Xenopus tropicalis: one gene and its partners. The protein of the gene in region 1 purifies or fractionates together with the protein of each later gene. This does not show direct contact. Links are inferred from orthologs where the notes say so. Each region holds a gene or a part of one and is shown on either strand. Other genes may lie near its edges. The genes, in order: copb1, copg1, copz1, copg2, copa and cope.

Evidence for each region.
Region 2: the proteins of copb1 (region 1) and copg1 fractionate together in Homo sapiens (co-fractionation; 11 studies listed by BioGRID and IntAct, counting the BioPlex papers as one, with this or other methods). This does not show direct contact. The link is inferred for Xenopus tropicalis from reciprocal best matches to the Homo sapiens genes COPB1 and COPG1.
Region 3: the proteins of copb1 (region 1) and copz1 fractionate together in Homo sapiens (co-fractionation; 8 studies listed by BioGRID and IntAct, with this or other methods). This does not show direct contact. The link is inferred for Xenopus tropicalis from reciprocal best matches to the Homo sapiens genes COPB1 and COPZ1.
Region 4: the proteins of copb1 (region 1) and copg2 purify together in Homo sapiens (affinity purification with western blotting; 4 studies listed by BioGRID and IntAct, with this or other methods). This does not show direct contact. The link is inferred for Xenopus tropicalis from reciprocal best matches to the Homo sapiens genes COPB1 and COPG2.
Region 5: the proteins of copb1 (region 1) and copa fractionate together in Homo sapiens (co-fractionation; 6 studies listed by BioGRID and IntAct, with this or other methods). This does not show direct contact. The link is inferred for Xenopus tropicalis from reciprocal best matches to the Homo sapiens genes COPB1 and COPA.
Region 6: the proteins of copb1 (region 1) and cope purify together in Homo sapiens (affinity purification with mass spectrometry; 6 studies listed by BioGRID and IntAct, with this or other methods). This does not show direct contact. The link is inferred for Xenopus tropicalis from reciprocal best matches to the Homo sapiens genes COPB1 and COPE.

What each region holds. Positions count from the first base shown.
Region 1 is NC_030680.2:3,433,440-3,437,391, forward strand, and holds the start of copb1 (coatomer subunit beta), read left to right. Parts: upstream 1-1,152; 5' UTR 1,153-1,224; intron 1,225-3,952. UniProt on the Homo sapiens protein: The coatomer is a cytosolic protein complex that binds to dilysine motifs and reversibly associates with Golgi non-clathrin-coated vesicles, which further mediate biosynthetic protein transport from the ER, via the Golgi up to the trans Golgi network.
Region 2 is NC_030680.2:135,688,518-135,692,770, forward strand, and holds the start of copg1 (coatomer subunit gamma-1), read right to left. Parts: upstream 2,801-4,253; 5' UTR 2,704-2,800; coding exon 2,667-2,703; intron 1-2,666. UniProt on the Homo sapiens protein: The coatomer is a cytosolic protein complex that binds to dilysine motifs and reversibly associates with Golgi non-clathrin-coated vesicles, which further mediate biosynthetic protein transport from the ER, via the Golgi up to the trans Golgi network.
Region 3 is NC_030678.2:145,576,885-145,580,384, forward strand, and holds part of copz1 (coatomer subunit zeta-1), read right to left. Parts: intron 2,592-3,500; coding exon 2,514-2,591; intron 747-2,513; coding exon 695-746; intron 1-694. UniProt on the Homo sapiens protein: The coatomer is a cytosolic protein complex that binds to dilysine motifs and reversibly associates with Golgi non-clathrin-coated vesicles, which further mediate biosynthetic protein transport from the ER, via the Golgi up to the trans Golgi network.
Region 4 is NC_030679.2:86,709,329-86,712,828, reverse strand, and holds part of copg2 (coatomer subunit gamma-2), read right to left. Parts: intron 676-3,500; coding exon 432-675; intron 1-431. UniProt on the Homo sapiens protein: The coatomer is a cytosolic protein complex that binds to dilysine motifs and reversibly associates with Golgi non-clathrin-coated vesicles, which further mediate biosynthetic protein transport from the ER, via the Golgi up to the trans Golgi network.
Region 5 is NC_030684.2:137,310,124-137,313,623, forward strand, and holds part of copa (coatomer subunit alpha), read left to right. Parts: intron 1-208; coding exon 209-344; intron 345-497; coding exon 498-580; intron 581-699; coding exon 700-850; intron 851-1,736; coding exon 1,737-1,803; intron 1,804-1,897; coding exon 1,898-1,973; intron 1,974-2,058; coding exon 2,059-2,141; intron 2,142-2,225; coding exon 2,226-2,365; intron 2,366-3,022; coding exon 3,023-3,108; intron 3,109-3,358; coding exon 3,359-3,497; intron 3,498-3,500. UniProt on the Homo sapiens protein: The coatomer is a cytosolic protein complex that binds to dilysine motifs and reversibly associates with Golgi non-clathrin-coated vesicles, which further mediate biosynthetic protein transport from the ER, via the Golgi up to the trans Golgi network.
Region 6 is NC_030677.2:112,615,111-112,619,180, forward strand, and holds the start of cope (coatomer subunit epsilon), read right to left. Parts: upstream 2,801-4,070; 5' UTR 2,759-2,800; coding exon 2,660-2,758; intron 2,428-2,659; coding exon 2,365-2,427; intron 1,582-2,364; coding exon 1,481-1,581; intron 1-1,480. Other genes in the region: probable ATP-dependent RNA helicase DDX49, read left to right, coding at 2,960-3,074, 4,025-4,070. UniProt on the Homo sapiens protein: The coatomer is a cytosolic protein complex that binds to dilysine motifs and reversibly associates with Golgi non-clathrin-coated vesicles, which further mediate biosynthetic protein transport from the ER, via the Golgi up to the trans Golgi network.

The DNA of each region.
Region 1 (3,952 bases):
ACCAGTGCAGGAATGGCTGCCCCCGGGGCTACACAGCGGGGTATTTATATAAACTATAGTAGGGTTTCTGTAGCAAACACCCCAGCTGTACCAGTGCAGGAATGGCTGCCCCCGGGGCTACACAGCGGGGTATTTATATAAACTATAGTAGGGTTTCTGTAGCAAACACCCCAGCTGTACCAGTGCAGGAATGGCTGCCCCGGGGCTACACAGCGGGGTATTTATATAAACTATAGTAGGGTTTCTGTAGCAAACACCCCAGCTGTACCAGTGCAGGAATGGCTGCCCCCGGGGCTACACAGCGGGGTATTTATATAAACTATAGTAGGGTTTCTGTAGCAAACACCCCAGCTGTACCAGTGCAGGAACGGCTGCCCCCGGGGCTACACAGCGGGGTATTTATATAAACTATAGTAGGGTTTCTGTAGCAAACACCCCAGCTGTACTGGTGCAGGAATGGCTGCCCCCGGGGCTACACAGCGGGGTATTTATATAAACTATAGTAGGGTTTCTGTAGCAAACACCCCAGCTGTACTGGTGCAGGAATGCCAATGTCCCTGAATATAATATCAGCTTTCCTTGTCCCTAGTGAGAGTCTAACCTAGAAGGCTGCTGCATGCTGAACTGGATTCTGTGCAGCCCTGTATCAGACCATACATAGCGCTATATGAAATCAAGGGAATCCTGAGCCAATCAGTGATTAACAGATTGACTGCAAGTTCCGGGTTTCTTTCTATATCCTGCTTCTATTTTGCCGGTAAAGTTTGCGTTCCACTAGAACAAGATACTTCCTGGATCATGCGTTTCAGCAGCAGGTTACGCCCCCTCCCATAAATTGAGTTTCCGGTTATCGTTGCGTTTCACTAGAGCAAGGTACTTCCTGGATCATGCGTTTCAGCAGCAGGTTACGCCCCCTATAAATTTCGTTTCCGGGTTGCTGGGCCGCTCACTTCCGCGGTTTCTCAGGAGTCTGTCAGTGACGTAGCCTTTCCGGGATTTGCGAGTGTTCTGGCCCTCCCCGGCTTCCGTACGATTGAGTTGGACTGCGCTCCGCTAGGCGCTTCCACGTCACCCAGAGAGCGCTCAGTGTCCCTGGTACGGAGTGAGCCCGGAGCCGCAGGTAAGGCAGCGGGAACTACCCCCGCCAGGGGCAACTGCTTGACTTACCTCCTACCATAGAATCGACCCATTGGCCCTGCGCTAAGCTGCTGTTATTGCCCTGAGGTAGGTAGGTGCCCGGTACGTGCATGGCATGTCCTACCTGTGGGGAACCTACCCCCCCGGGGTATCTATGGGCGAACTGCGGGAGTTTATGCGACAGAAGTGGTGGTTTTAATGCCCTGGGGCAAAGGTGGGTAAAATACCAGGGTATTTGGGGTATTAGGAGTTAATGCCCTGGGGCAAAGGTGGGTAAAATGCCAGGGTATTTGGGGTATTAGGAGTTAATTCCCTGTAGCACAGGTGGGTAAAATACCAGGGTATTTGGGGTATTAGGAGTTAATGCCCTGTAGCACAGGTGGGTAAAATACCAGGGTATTTGGGGTATTAGGAGTTAATGCCCTGTAGCACAGGTGGGTAAAATACCAGGGTATTTGGGGTATTAGGAGTTAATGCCCTGTAGCACAGGTGGGTAAAATACCAGGGTATTTGGGGTATTAGGAGTTAATGCCCTGGGGCAAAGGTGGGTAAAATACCAGGGTATTTGGGGTATTAGGAGTTAATGCCCTGTAGCACAGGTGGGTAAAATACCAGGGTATTTGGGGTATTAGGAGTTAATGCCCTGTAGCACAGGTGGGTAAAATACCAGGGTATTTGGGGTATTAGGAGTTAATGCCCTGTAGCACAGGTGGGTAAAATACCAGGGTATTTGGGGTATTAGGAGTTAATGCCCTGTAGCACAGGTGGGTAAAATACCAGGGTATTTGGGGTATTAGGAGTTAATGCCCTGGGGCAAAGGTGGGTAAAATACCAGGGTATTTGGGGTATTAGGAGTTAATGCCCTGTAGCACAGGTGGGTAAAATACCAGGGTATTTGGGGTATTAGGAGTTAATGCCCTGTAGCACAGGTGGGTAAAATACCAGGGTATTTGGGGTATTTGGACTTAATGCCCTGTAGCACAGGTGGGTAAAATGCCAGGGTATTTGGGGTATTTGGACTTAATGCCCTGGGGCAAAGGTGGGTAAAATCTCATTCTGGGGTATTTGGAGTTAATGGCCCGTGGAAAAGGTGGCAAATATTTAGTGGTGTATTTAGTGCTAATGCCATGTAGCAAAGGTGGATACATTCCCCTTACTGGGGTATTTGGTGTTAATACAGAGATGGGCAGAGATCTCTTGTTGGCAGCGACCCTTCTATAGTACCCTCTGATAAATACAGTGCCAATTCCATGTATAATACCCCAGAACCCACAGCAGGATAAATACAGTGCCAATTCCATGTATAATACCCCAGAACCCACAGCAGGATAAATACAGTGCCAATTCCATGTATAATACCCCAGAACCCACAGCAGGATAAATACAGTGCCAATTCCATGTATAATACCCCAGAACCCACAGCGGGATAAATACAGTGCCAATTCCATGTATAATACCCCAGAACCCACAGCAGGATAAATACAGCGCCAATTCCATGTATAATACCCCAGAACCCACAGCAGGATAAATACAGTGCCAATTCCATGTATAATACCCCAGAACCCACAGCAGGATAAATACAGTGCCAATTCCATGTATAATACCCCAGAACCCACAGCAGGATAAATACAGTGCCAATTCCATGTATAATACCCCAGAACCCACAGCGGGATAAATACAGTGCCAATTCCATGTATAATACCCCAGAACCCACAGCAGATAAATACAGTGCCAATTCCATGTATAATACCCCAGAACCCACAGCGGGATAAATACAGTGCCAATTCCATGTATAATACCCCAGAACCCACAGCAGATAAATACAGTGCCAATTCCATGTATAATACCCCAGAACCCACAGCAGATAAATACAGTGCCAATTCCATGTATAATACCCCAGAACCCACAGCAGATAAATACAGTGCCAATTCCATGTATAATACCCCAGAACCCACAGCAGATAAATACAGTGCCAATTCCATGTATAATACCCCAGAACCCACAGCAGATAAATACAGTGCCAATTCCATGTATAATACCCCAGAACCCACAGCAGGATAAATACAGTGCCAATTCCATGTATAATACCCCAGAACCCACAGCAGGATAAATACAGTGCCAATTCCATGTATAATACCCCAGAACCCACAGCGGGATAAATACAGTGCCAATTCCATGTATAATACCCCAGAACCCACAGCAGGATAAATACAGTGCCAATTCCATGTATAATACCCCAGAACCCACAGCAGATAAATACAGTGCCAATTCCATGTATAATACCCCAGAACCCACAGCGGGATAAATACAGTGCCAATTCCATGTATAATACCCCAGAACCCACAGCGGGATAAATACAGTGCCAATTCCATGTATAATACCCCAGAACCCACAGCAGATAAATACAGTGCCAATTCCATGTATAATACCCCAGAACCCACAGCAGATAAATACAGTGCCAATTCCATGTATAATACCCCAGAACCCACAGCAGATAAATACAGTGCCAATTCCATGTATAATACCCCAGAACCCACAGCAGATAAATACAGTGCCAATTCCATGTATAATACCCCAGAACCCACAGCAGGATAAATACAGTGCCAATTCCATGTATAATACCCCAGAACCCACAGCAGGATAAATACAGTGCCAATTCCATGTATAATACCCCAGAACCCACAGCGGGATAAATACAGTGCCAATTCCATGTATAATACCCCAGAACCCACAGCAGGATAAATACAGTGCCAATTCCATGTATAATACCCCAGAACCCACAGCAGATAAATACAGTGCCAATTCCATGTATAAT
Region 2 (4,253 bases), about 130 Mb from region 1:
ATAACATAGGCACATTATTTAAATAAATGCAAATAATGTATTGCAAATCATGTAGTGATTTCAGGCTTTCTACACTTGGGTTGATTAGTAGGTTGGTTTTAATCCTAGCCCACAGCATGCATTAATAATGAGCAGGTCAGGAAAAGCTCCACCCTGACCCCAAGTCATAAAATACTGCCATTGTAGGACCCGCACCCAACCTGTACCAGTGTCTTTCCACTCCGTACACTACTTCTGAGTGCGCCTCTGGTTTTAAGAGAGGAACACTTCTGAAGCAGAGGAGGCCTGTACTTCCCCAGTCTGACCTGCACACAAAATTAAGTTATGTTTTAAAATCAAACTTGAAATAAATACTAGACACTATAAAAAGAAAAAAGAGCAATAAAACTGCACAGTGTATCTGGTTACAGTGTCAAAGTTAAGTGACTACCACACCACATTTTTTTAGTTGTAGGCTGGAAAGAGAAAAAAAAAACAAAAAACATACAAACACATAGATAATGAAGACCAATTGAAAAGTAAATTATACTAAGTCTACTCAGGGCCACCATGAGAGGTAATCCTATCAGGGGCCCTATGGTAGAAGGGTACCCAACATGAAGATGTGAGTCTAACATGGAGTGGGCAAGGTTTGTTCATACTATCGGTGAGGTTTTGGCATAAAGGGGTGTGGCTGATGCAGATAAGCGGCAATAAGCCCCATTCTATTTGCTGTCATGGCTCACCACCCAGAGGCCTACTTGGCAGTATGCGGCCCATTAATTACTGATGACAATATCAGGGTAGTTTCAGTAAGGTATCCACAGGCGTCATTATAGGACCTAGATCATACAAGTACTGGCTTCCAGGGCTGTGGAGTCGGTAGATAAATTCTCCGACTCCGACTCCTCAGTTTCTGATACTTCCGACTCCGACTGTTTTTAATATGCTAATGTATTTTATACATTCATTGAATGAAAGGAAGGAGACATACATGTCATTTAACCACAGAACTACTGGCTCTGCATTGGGCTTTATTCTTATAGCAGAGAAGTAATTAATTATGACTGTTTGTGAATTGGGACATTTAAACTTGCTTTTTTTTTTTTTATTCCCATTTAAATTTAGTAGGAGTCAGAGTTGGTTCATTTTTTGCCGACTCCAGGTACTCAAAATTGCCGCGGACTCCAGGTACTCAAAATTGCCTCCGACTTCAACTCCACAGCCCTGCTGGCTTCTTTGATGTACAATGGAAGAGACTTTTGTTTATTGGTTAAATAATAATATATCTAGATGCTGATGGGAGATAAAAAGCCTTAAGGAAAACTGCAACATTCTTAAATTTATAATAAAATAGTACAAATGATAAACAGCACATACAAAACTGCGGTGCAGTTGCTGATGGCAACAAACACAGAGCTCTTACATTGATGTACAAACATATGGACGGAATATCACTAAAATAACTTCAGCCTTAAGGTGCCCATACACTATAAGATCCGCTCGCTTGGCGATGTCACCAAGCGAGCGGATCTTCACCCGATATCCCCACCTACGGGTGGGCGATATCGGGTAGCAAGGGACTTGAAAAAAAAATAATCCGATTGTTCAACAATCGGATTACATTTGAGCTTATGGGGCAGTCGGTTCGGGGACCGCATCAACGAGCCGATGCGGTCCCCGATCCGACCGGATTTTCTAACCTGGCCAATCGAGATCTGGCCAATTTCAGGCCAGATATTGGTCGGCCAGGCAGCTCTGTTCTGCCCATACACGGGCCGATTAGCTGCCGAATCGGTCCAAGGGACCGATATCGGCAGCTATAGTCGGCCTGTGTATGGGCACCTTTAAAGAAGGTGCTTAATTACTCAGCCCTGGCAAATACAACATATAATACAGAGCTGAACCATACCTGCTTCTCTCTAAATGGATTAGGCCATGCCATTTTATGTTTACACCCTGCGCCCATTTTGCACGTGTGCATTCGGCATGCAAATTTTCACAAGGCATTTTTCCCACATACAGTTTTATATCTATAACCTATTGGTATCGGGGGGTTAATATGATTCAAAGCATACCCATTAACTAGCATGGGGCTGCATTTGCAAACAGATGCACCTTATGGGCAGCAGTGTAATGGACTGCCAAGAACAGAATAAGGTGGTGGCTCTAAAACACAAGGGCACGGCCAGTATTCCAGCTTTAATTTACATTGTTACTAGCACACTGGGTACAGGCTCCCCAATACTCTGAATTAAATATATAGTAACTCCTACAACATGAAGGAATGCCCTAGAACAGACATATCCAATATGGCCTTTCTTATTAAAACGACCAATCCCAGCAGGCTTTATGGGATTCCTGGTGTAGACCCGATGTATAGGTATTGTGAGAGTTATTAGAGTAACGCTAGGGCCCCGTCCAGCTGTTCTACCAGTGTAGCACACACCTGATGCCTTCCTAGGTCACAGACACGGGCTTGGATTCCACTGAACTGCACAACCCGTCCCTCTTGGGTTCTGCCTTTTGCATGGCTGCCAGTGTATCCCCACACAGAGCCAGGGGCCTGAGTACCATGCACTCCCTGCTGCCGGTGTGGGCCAGTGACAGCGTTCGCCATTTAAACAGACATATAAGGGCAATAAATAAAACGCGACACAATAGTGCAAACCCCCCATATCACTCACCCGACTCCTCATCCTTTTTATCGAACTTCTTCAGCATCTCTGCCCCTCAGTCAGAACCAGGCCACTTCCTGCCAGGCTGTCACCGGGACACGTCACTCCTGACAACGTAACCTACGCATGCGCACTAACAAGCAGTGCGATTGGCGCGGACAGAGCATGCCTAGAACGGTAAATGCTTGTTCAACGCATGCGCACTGTTAGCGGAAGCGACTGAATTGAAACCGGAACTGCTTGTGAATAGCGCACGCAATAAGGGACAAATGTACACCGGAAGTTCGAGGAAAAGTATGAGCCAGGCAAAATAGGTTTTTATTTTTGAGTTTACATCGCCTTAGAAAGTTGCTTGGAAGTCCAAGTAACTTTCTAAAACGATGTAAGCCCAAAAATAAAACTTGGCCTGTTGAAAGGAAATACAGTTCTAAGCAACTTTCTAATATGTATTCAGATTTTTAATGCTTTACAGGTAAATATAAATCACAATATTCGTACAGGGAGGCAGGATTCTTGTGTAATTGTATTATTCATTTTGACGTTTAAATAAAGGCAAATAAAAGCATTTTTATAAGTAGTACCTATGGAATGGATCTCTCCTCTTTTGACATGCACATAGAGTTGCCACTTGTTTATTGTTGACCTGCACAGTTCAGCTTTACTTAGGGCTATTTGGATCTTAACTGTCTGGGATTCAGCCTTGTGAAACCAAAACAATAATCTGGCCACTAACCACCTCTGATGTCAAGGCCTGCCCCCAAAATGTACAAATACACTTCCAAATATCACATCTGCACCCTCTTATGTCACCGCTCTGCCTCTGATGTCATCATCCCAACATTTTGTCTGTTTTTTTGCTGAGGTCAAAGGTGGCAATCCTTAATGCACACTGTGCCCCCTCAATACTGCCCTATTTGCCTTACCTGTTCCAAAATTAGCACCGCAGGTAGGGTGGGGCCCTGGCTGTCACTTTGTGCCACTGCAAGAAGGTGTCCTCCAACCCCACAGTATTGGGTAGGGTGGAGGGAGACGTCCTCCAGGGGTAGAATTAAAAAATGCTATTAGTTCTTCTTTAAGGCTGTGACAGATGGGGAGTTTAGTCGCCTGTGACAAATCTCCCTTGTCGTGGGCAACTAATCTCCCTGAAATGCCATCCCACCGGCTAGAATGTAAATCGCCAGTGGGATGGCATACGCGGCGCCGCGATTCCCCGAAATCGCAGAAGTTTCCTCTCAAGACAACTTCGGCGATTTTGGGAAATTGTGGCACCACATATGCCATTCCACTGGCGATTTACATTCTAGCCGGTGGGATGGTTTTTCGGGGAGATTAGTCGCCCATGACAAGGGAGATTTGTTGTGCAGTGACTAATCTTGCCGTCTGTTACAGCCCTTAAAGTTTTTTTTTTTTGCAAGGTTAATGATTCAGGGTAGAATTGGAGAGATCTTTGTCCAAATGGATGGAATGTTTTCAAAATGCTAGAGGTTGTCAGGTATCAAAACAAGTCTTTTGGGCCATAGGAAAACCCAGGCCCTACTGGACCTTCCTCCCCCCATTCAATGAGTTTGTGGTGCTCATGGGGCTTTCTGCTCTGGA
Region 3 (3,500 bases), on another chromosome or scaffold:
GGCAAGGGTCTTAACCACTTCACTGCTGCCCAGAAAACAATTCACCCAGTGCACTAAGAAAGGGCTGCTCTAGTACAACTTGTACTTTTTGGCATTAGGCTCTAAAAGAGCATGACCTGGTTAGATGCTCTGCTACACCCTGCATTGTAAAACTATATAAAATGATTAGAACATGTTTTTCTATAGCTCCAGCAGAATTTCAGAATAATGTATGTATGTATGTATGTATGTATGTATGTATGTAAGAGGAAAGATATCACAAGCTATAAGAGCACATTCATAATTATGCTAATTATATTAAAAATGTATTACAGTATACCAGACAGTCTATACAGCACAGACACAGAACAGTTACAGCAACAATCTCTGCATAGAAGAGCTTACAGTGTAAATATTGTGTTTGGAAGAGACTATAATAAGTTGATACAACAGTAACTTTCTTTTAGTCACAATGACCCACCCCCCAATCTACAAACAACCCTAATGTTCTCATGGCTTATGAAGCCAGGCCCAGACTGGCAATCTGTGGATTGTGGCAAATGCCAGAGGGGCTGCTGTAAGATGGCATAGACAGTCACTATTTAGTGGACTTGAAATGCCAGGGCCTATTTTGTATCCCAGTCCAAACCTATATGGAGCCTCGAGCACGTAAGCACTGTTTTTATCCCCAGAAGTGCCACACATTTCTACTTACCCTTAGTGCCACACGGTGAACCACTTGCTGAGGGTCACTCTCTAGTATGACTCTGCATTGCAAGAAACAAGGGAAATAGTTGAACAAAACTGCACACACCCTTATATTAACCATTTGTGAGCAGCACACCATTACGTTGAAGTACACAGACAGTTAAGCTAAAGACAATTCCTTTACCTCTTAATAGCCACGGCCCTGCTGTTCAGACTGCAGCACCCCCAGAATGGAATCACTGATAATGATGTCATTACACAGAAAAAGAGTGGCACTTACGCAGTAATGGCACCGTTAGAAAGCGTTCCATTCATAGAGTCGCTATGATAGTAACTGCTGCACAATCACAAGTCAAACAAAAACAGGCACAGACGGAGAATGTACAAGTTCCAGATTAACATTTCTGTTTACAATAATGGAATGATTTTATGGTCTTCATTTGTGAATCTGAAGTACTATGAGGTGCATGCTAAAATATTAACCACTTGGCTCCCACTAAGATACAAAGCAGCATTTAAACATAGGCCAATAAGCTGAGCATATACAATATATATACCCAGTGGTTTCTCTATATGTATTGAAAGAAAACAGAAATTAATGCAATGAGGGGCCAAAAGATTGCCATGCTCTGGCATAGGATGTTTTAACTTGCCATATCTATTTCCTAAACATTAAGCCAAATCCCTGCGAGTAATGTAATTTACTTGCGGTGTTTCTCATGTTAGCAAAGGGGGATGGCATTTTTCGGTGATTTGTCCCACTGTAGCACATTTTTACTGCGGGCAACAAATCTCCCTGTATGTCATTGCTCACAAAGTTAACTATTAGTATGTTGCAGAATGTCATGTTCTTAGCAACTTTTCAACTGGTTTACCTTCTCTTCTGCCTCTTTTTTAAAAGGAGACATATAGTGTAACTAAAAAGGCTTGCAATCTTGTAGGCAATAATGAATAATATATTGTGCTGGCTTTACTCTGGGCTGAAAATTACCTTAAAAAGATCACTTTATTGGAGCTCCCTATAGTTCCTCTCAGGTCCCTCCTTGTTTCAAATGAGGGGTGGGCATGTTCTAACCGTCCCTGCCAGAAGCACAGTAAAAGGGGGATAGCCAATAACAGCCCTGCAGGCACACAACCAAAGACAGGCTTCAGTTCCCTATCAGGTCAGCCTAGCTGCTGATTGGTTCCTATCCTACCGTGCAGTGTGCTGAGAGTAGCCAACTCCCCTGCACAGCCTGGGAAAGGAGGCAGCAGGAAGTGGAACAGATGGGCGTGAATAGCAGGCTTTTCGCAAAAATTTTTTTTTAAAAATATCAGTCCAACACATCTTTTTAAAGCACATATTTTGAGCAGTACAATGCACTGGCACATTCTTGTTTTTCATATATGTCCCTCTTGACTGTTTGTTGTGTGTTACGAGACTAGCCAGCCAAGAAACTATTGCTCTGTGAAGCTATGGTTATTATTACTATTTATCATGTATCGTTCAGGCCCAATTCTATTCAATTCTGTATCACTCATTGAAACCGCCTGCCTGGTTGCAAGGATAAATTGGACCATTTATAAGATGAAACCTATATTCTGGGTGGGACTGGCCTACCAGGGCACCAGGAGAAAAATAGATGGGCCCCAACTCCCTGGATATGTCAGCTGGCCAGGGATTGCCTCTACCGGTAAAGGGAACCAGTGAGGAGGGATTGGGCTCTTGATATGGCACTTACGGTGGGCCCTGGGCATGCTAGTTTGCAACTGCCTATATGTATAATCTGGTAAAGAAAAGCCCTCAGGAAGCTGTAAATGTGCAATGGGTAAGTAAATCATCTTACCCTCCATCTATAATCTCATCAACTGCCAGGAAAAGTCCTTCCATATTCTCAAGCAGGGTTCGCTTTTCGACATTTTTGCTGTAAAAACATAATATACTCTATATTTTTACACAAGAAAAAACTGTAGATGTTATTTGCATGGATAAACATTAGGGGGCTTCCATTATCAGCAAGAACACAGTGAAAATTTACTTCCAACTTTTCCCAGAGGATTGCTCCAGTGTGATGGGCTCCTACATAAAAGTTACACCAACTGATGTTAGCTGAAATCAATCAGTAATTCCAGCACTAATCATATTTCAGTAGAAACAAAGAAATGTTACTTAAAGCTCCTAGCTAAACCTGAGAGGTCAGCAGAATGAACCACTACGAAACAGCTATGGCCCTAGGTACTGACCCCCAAGCGGCTTTTAGTGGCTCTTTCAAATTATTAAAAATCAGTCAGTTGATGCATAGTAACGCAAGAGATCTGTAACAATATTAAAAAGGTTGTGTAGCCTAATTGCCTCGCCAGGCTTTTATGGGTCTCCTAATCATTAATAGCAATAGGGGACCACTTTATGATCAGTTTTATCATTTTGAATCTCTAGGTTTAATAATGGATTTATAATTATGAATAAATGATCAATCTTAGCCATGAAGGTTAATTTCACAGTATTCTACTGGCCAAGTAGGTCTTCACACATTGGTTTAAGCAGAGTACAAAAACATGGAAAAATCTGGTCATACATTGACAGACTGGATCTTCTCCCAAATTTGCCACTTCTTCTGGCCAAATTGAGCAGTTCTTATCATTTGGCACCCAGGCCAAACACTGGATAATAATACAAACTTGCTAACATGCCCAGTTGATATCAAGCTGATTTTGCAAGCTTTTATTGCCCTGTGTTTTAGTCGCTGTGACTTTTAAAAAGCAAGTTCCAGCGACAATTCACTTGTCTTTTCCTAACAAGTGATTACAAGAGATTTCAACAACGGAGCGATTCT
Region 4 (3,500 bases), on another chromosome or scaffold:
CTTGCAGACCAGCAGTCCACATGGGGCTACCAAATAACCACAGTCCTTATTTAAAATCCCCAAAGAGCTTTTTTCAAGCTTGTGTGGCTCACCAACACCTTTTACATCTGAGTGTGGCTCAGAAGTTTGGGAAAATGGAACTTCAATAGTTAAAGGTTAACATTAAAAATAAGTGCCTCGGTTTACAAATAATAAATGTAAAGCAGCCTTCAGTAATCTAGATGTTAACGATTCAAATTACCCCAAACCCTACTGCACTGGAGTTCTGGAGGTATATCTCTGCAACATCCTAATAAGTAGTTTAAGTTTACTATAGCCGTAGTTTAAGTGTAATATAGCTACTATTAAGTTATGTTTACTAATAAATAATTGAGGTTATTACTTAAGCAAAGAAAAAAGGAAGAAAGAAAAAATAATGGTGGTATTCTTACCTGCTCTGACGGCTTCATTCTCTAATACCACCCTGTTAAAGATGAAACGAATGTACTTGGAGGGTGTGGGTGTTTTTGGCCCTTCTCTTCCCAAAAGATGCAGAATCTTGGTAGCCAGAACTGTGTGCTCACAGTCCTCAATAAATTCACACAGGTGAGCAAGGCCAGATTCTTTGCTGTCTGGGTTCTCTTCTATGATGCTAATAATGCAGTCCACAATGGCACGCTTGTATTCAAAACCTCCCTGCATATGAGAGTGTGTGTAGTTTAGCATACTTGAGCATTTTGAGCTAGGAACAAGACACTATTTAAACAGAAAATTAATTATCTTATGGCCATTTACTAATTTTTTTTTTAAAGAGAACTAGTTCTACTGGCAAGAATTGCCAAGTAAATCTATGACTAACAATTAACACCCCAAATCACCTATGGATAGACAAGAGGTAGTAATGTGTCTATTTATGCCCGTGCATGTATTAGAACCCAACAATCCCAACAAATATCCATGTGCTATGGATGTTGGTCAGATACTTGGTTGCGCATGTTTGTAAACAGGCTGGGCTGAACAGTGTATGGCCTCATTTACTATGAAGCGAAATACACTGCTCAAAAAAAATAAAGGGAACAGAAAAATAAGACATCCTAGATCTGAATGAAATATTCTTATTAAATACTTCGTTCTTTATCTAGTTGAATGTGCTGACAACAAAATTATCAATGGAAATCAAATTTATCAACCAATGGAGGTCTGGATTTGGAGTCACTCTCAAAATTAAAGTGGAAAAAAACGCTACAGGCTGATCCAACTTTGATGTAATGTCCTTAAAACAAGTCAAAATGAGGCTCAGTAGTGTGTGTGGCCTCCGTGTGCCTATATGACCTTCCTACAACGCCTGGGCATGATGAGGTGGCGGATGGTCTCCTGAGGGATCCCCTCCCAGACCTGGTCTAAAGCATCCACCAACTCCTGGACAGTCTGTGGTGCAACGTGGCATTGGTGGATGGAGGGAGACATGATATCCCAGATGTGCTCAATTGGATTCAGGTCTGGGGAACAGTAGGGCCAGTCCATAGCATCAATGCCTTCATCTTGCAGGAACTGCTGACACACTCCAGCCACATGAGGTCTAGCACTGTCTTGCATCAGGAGGAACCCAGGGCCAACCGCACCAGCATATTGGTCTCACAAAGGGTCTGAGGATCTCACCTCACTACCTAATGGCAGTCAGGCTACCTCTGGCGAGCACATGGAGGGCTATGCTGCCCCCACAAAGAAATGCCACCCTACACCATTACTGACCCACTGCCAAACCAGTCATGCTGGAGGATGTTGCAGGCAGCAAAATGTTCTCCACGGTGTCTCCAGACTCTGTCACGTCTGTCACATGTGCTCAGTGTGAACCTGCTTTCATCTGTGAAGAGCACAGGGCGCCAGTGGCGAATTTGCCAATCTTGGTGTTCTCTGGCAAATGCCAAACGTCTTGCACAGTGTTGGGTTGTAAGCACAACCCCTACCTGTGAACGTCGGGCCCTCATACCACCCTCAAGGAGTCTGTTTCTGACCGTTTGAGCAGACACATGCACATTTGTGGCCCTCTGGAGGTCATTTTGCAGGGCTCTGGCAGTGCTCCTCCTGTTCCTCCTTGCACAAAGGTGGAGGTAGCGGTCCTGCTGCTGGGTTGTTGCCTTCCTATAGCCTCCTCCACGTCTCCTGATGTACTGGCCTGTCTCCTGGTAGCGCCTCCATGCTCTGGACACTATGCCGACAGACACAGCAAGCCTTCTTGCCACAGCTCGCATTGATGTGCCATCCTGGATGAGCTGCACTACCTGAGCCATTAGTGTGGGTTGTAGACTCTGTCTCATGCTACCACTAGAGTGAAAGCACCACCAGCATTCAAAAGTCATTGAAACATCAGCCAGAAAGCATAAGAACTGAGAAGTGGTCTGTGGTCACCACCTGCAGAACCACTCCTTTATTGGGGATGTCTTGCTAATTGCCTATAATTTCCACCTGTTGTCTATTACATTTGCACAACAGCATGTGAAATTAATTGTCAATCAGTGTTGCTACCTAAGTGGACAGTTTGATTTCACAAAAGTGTGACTGACTTGGAGTTACATTTTGTTGTTTAAGTGTTCCCTTTATTTTTTTGAGCAGTGTATATACAGTATGTTTATAATATATTGTGGGCTATTCTACTTCTAAGAACACCAAAGGGTTTTGTTAACTATTGTTAACTAGTTTACAAGCAGTGCTCGTAGGTACCACTTGTAAAAAGTTAATAGTAGTTAATAAAGCCCCTTAGATTTAATAAATTATTTTCCTCTTTGAAACAATTGCCTAGATCATAAAACCCTTGTGCAAATCGCAGATGGAGAGCAACAATTTAGACAATTATTCCAACATGGACCAGTGCTGTGTACAAACACCCATTGAAAATTCCTGTGTTTGACTGCTCATACGAGACACAAATTGGCACATCAATATACTTTGATTAATGTATAAATCCAGAAATCTTTTCTTGAGTCAGAAAAGTACTGTTAAATTGCAGAAAAGGTCACAGCAGAGAAACCCATTTTTAGTCTATAAACTAGTCAGAGGTCCAAACTGTCTGAATTGATCACACACTGCATATACCATCAGATCCTTTTTGTTTACTTGAAATATGATTTCTGACCAGAATTTTCAACCCAGCCAAACTATAGCATTCAATAAGTTATCAATTCATCAGTTTGCCAGGCCTCCAGTGACCTAGCCAACTGACATATGCTCTGATCTGTGCATTTATCTGTCTATTAGGCCATCTATATGAAGTTAAATTGGTACTGGATTGGTCACATAGGGGATTTTATACAATATATGCCACCCTTAGTACAGAGAATTTTAATATCAGTAATTAACAATGAAATGAAAGTATTTTGAAAATATACAAATATAAAATCATATGTACATAATCCATATTTACAATTCTGCATCATTATAACACACATAATATCAATCTATTTGGCATATCAGGGTAACACCAACAGAGGATACTTTGGGTACTATAAGCATTACGACTTTAA
Region 5 (3,500 bases), on another chromosome or scaffold:
CAGGGCCAAGGCTTCTAGACAGTAGTTTTCAACATAGTGTCCATCTTTCCTGGATCCATATATTCAACAGAAGTCATACACTTGACTCCCCTCACTCCTATATTTTTGTACTCTGTGATTGCTCTATTTAAATCCTGTTTGGCAGCAGAGTGTCCATATCAGGCTACATATGTGCTATAACTGACTGGCGATTCTCTCTCCCGCGCAGAGTCCAAAGCCTGGGAAGTGGACACGTGCCGCGGTCATTACAACAACGTCTCGTGCGCCGTCTTTCATCCCCGCCAAGAGCTGATTCTCAGTAACTCCGAAGACAAAAGCATTAGAGTGTGGGATATGTCCAAAAGGTGAGACACTTTGGTCAGGTTTGTTTGTTGGGTTTTTGCTGCCGATGTTAGAGTGCATTGGCTATAGACACCGGGATCCAGGGGCTATAGCTCCATTCTTGGCTTAGGATATAGTCAGAACTGACCGTGTTCAAATTTCTCTCTCATCTACAGGACTGGAGTCCAGACTTTCCGCAGAGACCACGACCGTTTCTGGGTACTGGCCGCCCACCCAAATCTTAACCTGTTTGCTGCAGGTAATACCCCAGTTGTGCAGTAGCATAATCTGCAGAAAGTGATGTCCAGATGGCACGGAAAATGCCAAAGCAGATTCCTTTACTAATGGAACCCTCTCTTGTATGTTATCCTTGCACAGGGCATGACGGTGGCATGATTGTATTCAAGCTGGAACGAGAGCGTCCCGCCTATGCCGTGCACGGCAATATCTTGTATTATGTGAAGGACAGATTCCTGCGCCAGTTGGACTTTAACAGCTCCAAGGATGTGGCTGTTATGCAGCTAAGGAGGTGAGACTGTGATTAAGGAGATACTAACATTCTGCTGATATAGACAATCTCAAGATTAGACTGGGTCACTGTATATGATGCACTGGGTTAGGAAATTCAGTTTAGGAAGGAGAATGTGGGAGATACAGATAGTCATCTGAGCTTTTCCTTCTGCAAACAAACCACCCAGTGCAGTGCCAATTGCTACTTAGATACACAGAAAGGGGTTGTGGGAGCACTCCAAGGCTAAATAGAGTATACAAATACAATGGAAGTGCAACTGATCTGGCCAAATTAACTACAAGTATACAAAAAGAGAGGGGGATTGATCAATGCACATTCCCTGGTCCCCTGTTTCATAAGTAAATTGTCTATGCTAGTGCGTGTATTTACAAAAACAGGGGTTTTTAGTTACAAAATTATGACCATAAGATTGGTAAGCCCCCATACCCCGTCAAGGTAAACCCCGTATGGTGGTCCTATCTATTTACCTCTGGTCATATTTTTCAAAGGCTGGTTTGAGTCAGAGGGCTTAGTCACTCCCATACCTTTTGCTTTTAAAGAGAGAGATTGGCAGGACCACAGCTTGGTTCTACAGGCTTAATCCTCCCCCGCCTGCGGCTTGTAAAGGAGAAGACTGCCTATTAACCAACACCCATTTTATGAAAGGCATAAGCCCACCATAAAAGGGACGGGTGTGGGGCTGCTAACCCACATGGAAGTTTGGCCATTCTTCCTGCAGAATAACTCTGCTAAAATACATACAGTAAATACACAGAAAGGGGTTGTGGGAGCACTCCAAGGCTAAATAGAGTATACAAATACAATGGAAGTGCAACTGATCTGGCCAAATTAACTACAAGCATACAAAATTGCTACTTATCCTATGTGTCTCTTATATTTACAGCGGCTCCAAGTTCCCTGTGTTCAATATGTCGTACAACCCAGCTGAAAATTCCGTCCTGCTTTGCACGGTAAGAATAGGCATGACAACCATCCAGATCAGTCCAGGGAGACATGTACTATGGGTTCCTTTATTTTTCTTACACTTCAAATCTCTTGTAACAGAGAGCCAGCAACCTGGAGAACAGCACTTATGACCTGTACACCATCCCCAAGGATACCGACTCCCAGAATCCCGATGGTAAGCTATAAATAAAGATTAGAGGCCATTGGAGGCCCTTACAGTCCTGTTTTGATGCATCTGCTGATAATGTTCCTCTGCTCAGCCCCTGAAGGGAAGCGATCCTCTGGTCTGACTGCAGTGTGGGTGGCACGGAATAGATTTGCCGTCCTGGATCGCATGCATTCTGTAAGTAGAATAAAACATTCTGCTTTTAGCTTACAACTTGCTTCCATTTCTGCCACTTATTTTGCCTTTCTCCCCTTCTTGTAGATTCTCATCAAGAACCTGAAGAATGAGATCACCAAGAAGGTCCAGGTGCCCAACTGTGATGAGATCTTCTATGCCGGCACTGGGAACCTGCTGCTCCGGGATTCCGACTCCATCACTCTATTTGATGTGCAGCAGAAGCGGTAAGTTGCACCGCCAGGTTTTCTTAGGGGTATACAAGTCATGCAGTTTTGCCAGTGCTGTTATATGGAGACCATTATGTGTAAAAATGTATTCAAAATAGTTAGGCAAACATGTAATCTATAAAGACTGGGAGTGAGCAGATGTCTAACTTAATAGCCAGAACACTGCTTCCTTCTTTGCAGCTCTCTAATCTGTAAAAAGCCAGTAACCAATCAATGACTAGAGGGGGTCCATATGGGACATAACTGTTTGCTTTTGGTCCTTAGCACGCAGATCAGATTCAAAAGCATACTAAGTGAGCCTTATGTCCCATGTGGCCCCCCTCAAGTCACTGACTAACTAAGAGGTTAGAGAGCTTAAAGCAGGAAGTAGTGTTCTGGCTATTATGTTAGACATCTGTCCACTTCAGACTTTATAGATTACAATTTTGCCTAACTATAATAGAAACATTTTTGATTTAGCACAGTTTTATTTTTACTCTGAACTGTTCCTTTGAGTGGGGTTTTCATAGAAGACACGTTTAGATTGAGACTTAATTGTCTAAATAGGGAAGAGTTTGCCAGACAGCAAATTGGTGGGCTTAGTTGGTGGCAAAACAAAGGGTGCATCACACAGGCACAGATACCAAGCAATCTGTGTATATCTATCCATTGCAGCACCCTGGCATCTGTGAAGATCTCCAAAGTGAAGTATGTCATTTGGTCCTCCGACATGTCCCACGTGGCTCTTCTTGCCAAGCATGGTAAGCTTTATAAAAGGCTGGGCTAGTTGCTGCTGCGCTTTTTTTTTTTTCTGGGGGGGGGGGGGGGGGGGGGGGCATTTATGCTCTGCAGGAGAGTGTCTCTATTTAACACCAAGGGAAGCATTATTCTTTGCCCCTAAAGGATCAGGCTTATAGGACTGTTGGAGAGAGCAGAGAGGCAGAGAGGAGCTTATGGGAGATGCAAACTCTTGATATTTGAATTCATCCTCTGTTTTTTTTTCTTCCTCAGCCATTATGATCTGCAATAGAAAGCTGGAGTCCCTCTGCAACATCCATGAAAATATCCGTGTCAAGAGCGGTGCCTGGGACGAGAGCGGGGTTTTCATCTACACGACCAGCAACCATATCAAATACGCACTCACCACTGGGTA
Region 6 (4,070 bases), on another chromosome or scaffold:
CAAAATGTTAGGCACCCCCAAGTGACTTTAATTGCTTACCTTGTACCCCGGGCTGGTGCCCCTGTTAGGAGAAAACAGCACCAGCCCGGGGTACCTGTAGCGAGCGGTTCCTCCTTCCTTTTGCCGGGACCCCACGACCGGCGCATGCGCAGTAGATTAAAAATTCAACTTCTCTGTTAAAGTTCAGCTTTTTCACTCGACTGCTCATGCACAAACACGCGAAGCAGGAAGCGCTGCAGCTACCCCGGGCTGGTGCTGTTCTCCCCGAACAGGGGCACCAGCCCGGGGTAAAAGGTAGGCGATTTAAGTCACTTGGGGGTGCCTAACATTTTGGCACCCCCAAGTGACTTTGCCTTTCCTTGTCCTTTAAGCTTGGTCAGATATAATACCCAGATTTCTCATTTACTTACTACACTGATAAATCTAATAGTCAGTTATACAGCACAACCCATTAGGGGAGCCTACGGTAGTGTATGAAAGTTAAAAGCAGATGTATCAACACTTGCAGAAGGCACATACTGAAAAAAGTGTCCTCCACTCAAAAAAATAATCATTAAGAAGAAAAGTCACATAACTTATCCTGATGCATCAAGCTAAGCTGATGTAATGTTTCTTCTAATTAGTAAATTAAGTTTATATGAGCCTGGCCTATGATATAGATTTTTGTTCTTGCCCTCTACAAGTTTGGTATATGCCCTCCCCAATCTGAAGACTCTGAAAAGCCAACCTGTTTACTATTTGTGGTTGGATCTCCCCTAAAAGTTTTAGGGAATGATTTAATAAAATTTTTTTTTTTTCTGGACTTGAAAGTAGTATAAACTCGACATGGTTTAAATTCTAATTAAACTCGAATTAAACTTGATCATTGTTGTATTTATAAAATGGGAGTTATTTTCGACAAACTCAAATTTATCAGGGAAAATTTCTGAAAAACTAGAATTTTTCGAGAAACAATATCAGAAAAATCGAGCACTGGCAAAAACCCATTCGTAAATCTCAACAGAAGTAAAAAAAAAAAAAACAAAAATCAACTGTTTCTTAAAATGTCTTAGTAAATGTGCCCCCTAAAGTTAATATATTTATAGGGAGTGCAATGGTTCTAGACCTCATTTCTTGAAACCCAAATGATCACATCTGGTAACCGTTTTAGTTGTATAGGGTCAAGCGAGTTTCTGGTAGTAGCCATATGCCAGTTGTTCTGGTGAGAGCCACAGAGTGGGACAATATAACGGAGAGGCATAGGGCCAGATTTATCAAAATGGGAGTTCAAAGATTTATACATAAAAATTCACCCATGTTCTTTTCATTCCTATGGGATTTTTAGAAGCATATTTATCAAAAGGTGAGTTCTAACTTTAGCCCATTGATAAATATGCTTCTAAAAATCCCATAGGAATGAATAAAAAGTGAATTTTTCTGTAGTGAGCTCTAATCTCAAATTTTGATAAATCTGCCCCCTGGAGATGTAGAATGCACATACCTGCGACTCTCATTGGACAGATACTCTGCAAACATTCGGACAGCCTGTAATTCAGGGTTGGTATTTGGCCGAATTTCATCAAGAACAACCCCATACTTGCGCTGCATGTGGAAAATAAAAGGTCATAAGACCAGGAAGAAATAAGAAGCTTCTTTTACTTAGTTATAAGTGCAGGAGGAAATAAAAAGCTTATTTTACTTATAGGTATAAGTGCAGGAGGAAATAAAAAGCTTATTTTACTTATAGGTATAAGTGCAGGAGGAAATAAAAAGCTTCTTTTACTTATAGGTATACGTGCAGGAGGAAATAAAAAGCCTTTTTTACTTATAGGTATAAGTGCAGGAGGAAATAAAAAGCTTCTTTTACTTATAGGTATACGTGCAGGAGGAAATAAAAAGCCTTTTTTACTTATAGGTATAAGTGCAGGAGGAAACAGAAAGCTTTTTTTACTTATAGGTATAAGTGCAGGAGGAAATAAAAAGCTTCTTTTACTTATAGGTATAAGTGCAGGAGGAAATAAAAAGCTTCTTTTACTTATAGGTATAAGTGCAGGAGGAAATAAAAAGCTTCTTTTACTTATAGGTATAAGTGCAGGAGGAAACAGAAAGCTTTTTTTACTTATAGGTATAAGTGCAGGAGGAAATAAAAAGCTTTTTTTACTTATAGGTATAAGTGCAGGAGGAAATAAAAAGCTTCTTTTACTTATAGGTATAAGTGCAGGAGGAAATAAAAAGCTTCTTTTACTTATAGGTATAAGTGCAGGAGGAAATAAAAAGCTTCTTTTACTTATAGGTATACGTGCAGGAGGAAAAAAGGCTACATTCACAATACTAATGACAGCTGGGTGAGAATAATGTATGATTATAATACAGAGTCTCTCTCACCTGGGCTATATATGCTCTGAACAGGAAAACGTCTCTCTCCACCTCCTTCTCTGGACTTGAAGGCTGTAAAATAAAATATTCCCACGTTACTATTTGATTATCCATCTTACCTCAGATTGTTAGCATGAGAAAAATAATAGATGTTATTGTGCCTGATTCAGTCATGCATGCTGTCGTTATATTTGTTCAATACGTATGCCCAATTTAAAAAGATTGCTGCTATGTCCACTATCCATATCCCTTCAGCCATAACTCCACGCCTCTCTGACCCAGTTTGCTGTAATCGTTAAATCACCTTTACTCTTTGCGCCTCATTAATGCACTGCTGGTAACTTCCAATATAGAAAGAATTCTTCACATCAAATAACTCGTCCACCTCTCCCTGTGCAGCCATTTCTGTATATCCCGGACACGTCAGCCGGCCAGCTTCCACAACTTCCGCCTTCCTTTACCGACTTCCGCCTCTCAGCTAAAGGCATGGCGGGAGATGTAGTACCAAAGGTCAGTTCCCGTAAGGACCAATAGAAGGGCGAGTTGTGTGACGCATTAGTTTGTGCGCCGGAATGTGCTGCTAGTGGCTATCACGCGTGTCAAGATGGAAGGGTTTTCGAGGCTTGGGTTGTCTTCCTGGCTTATCGATCAATGTAGCCAACTGGGCATATTGAAACCTAGTCCTGTACAGGAGAATTGCATCCCGCCCATCCTGGAAGGTGAGATTAGTGAATGCGAATATGATTCTTCGCGATTAAGGGGGCAGATTATCTGAGTTGTCCAGGGTGAGCAAGTCATCTACATAAGTGTTACAAATCATCTGAAAAACCAGTGATCAAAAGGTAAATGGCATAACTATATGTTAAAGGAAAGCAGCGCTAAATTTGCGGGAACCCTAACATTTAGGAGTAAGATTTAATTTAAATGTATTAATCTTCTTTTTTGTCACTGTCCCACTGGTCCCCTTTTACCTTCTGGCCCCCCGGCAGTCTCTTGAAGCGTCAGTTTCCTCCATAGTTACATTCCTATTTATAAATATATTGTGCACAGTTTTGCTTGTACCTAAGTTCGATTCATAATAATTGCATTCATCTAAAGGACATGTAAACCCCACACACAAAAATTTAATCAGTGAACAGCCTCTTTGAAATCTTTCAATACCTGCCACTCTGCTTGTCCAGAGGTTAATAGTAAGGCTGCAACATCCCCTTAATCACTTAGATTTCCTTCTCCTCCTGTAACCCACTCGCCCCCCCCCCCTTGGGAATTTGCTTTGATTCCTGCCTTGCCAGACATGCTCAGTTGTACTAAACTCAGATTACAAAATACGCCCTCCAGTCTAGCAGCCAGTGAAGAGATGGCATTGCTGGTTCCCATAGAAACTCAGCTCTAGCTGTCTGCTTCAATTTTTTCTCCTAACTTTCTCTCCTGAGCTCAGCTCAAACAAAGCAGAACGTTTATCAGACAGTTCTGCCTCTGTGAGCCTGTATTATTGATGAAATGTATGCTGAATAAGGGTCTGCGTGTGTATGCTGTTTGCAGATTTAAATGTATCTGATTATGTATCAGAGGAAAAAAGCCACCTGGTAAAAGGTCAACTATCCATTAACATCTGCACAGAAAATGTATTGTATTTTGTTGAGAACTCATGAAGTTGATGTCCTGTTAGGCCGAGACTGCATGGGATGTGCAAAGACTGGCAGTGGAAAAACAGC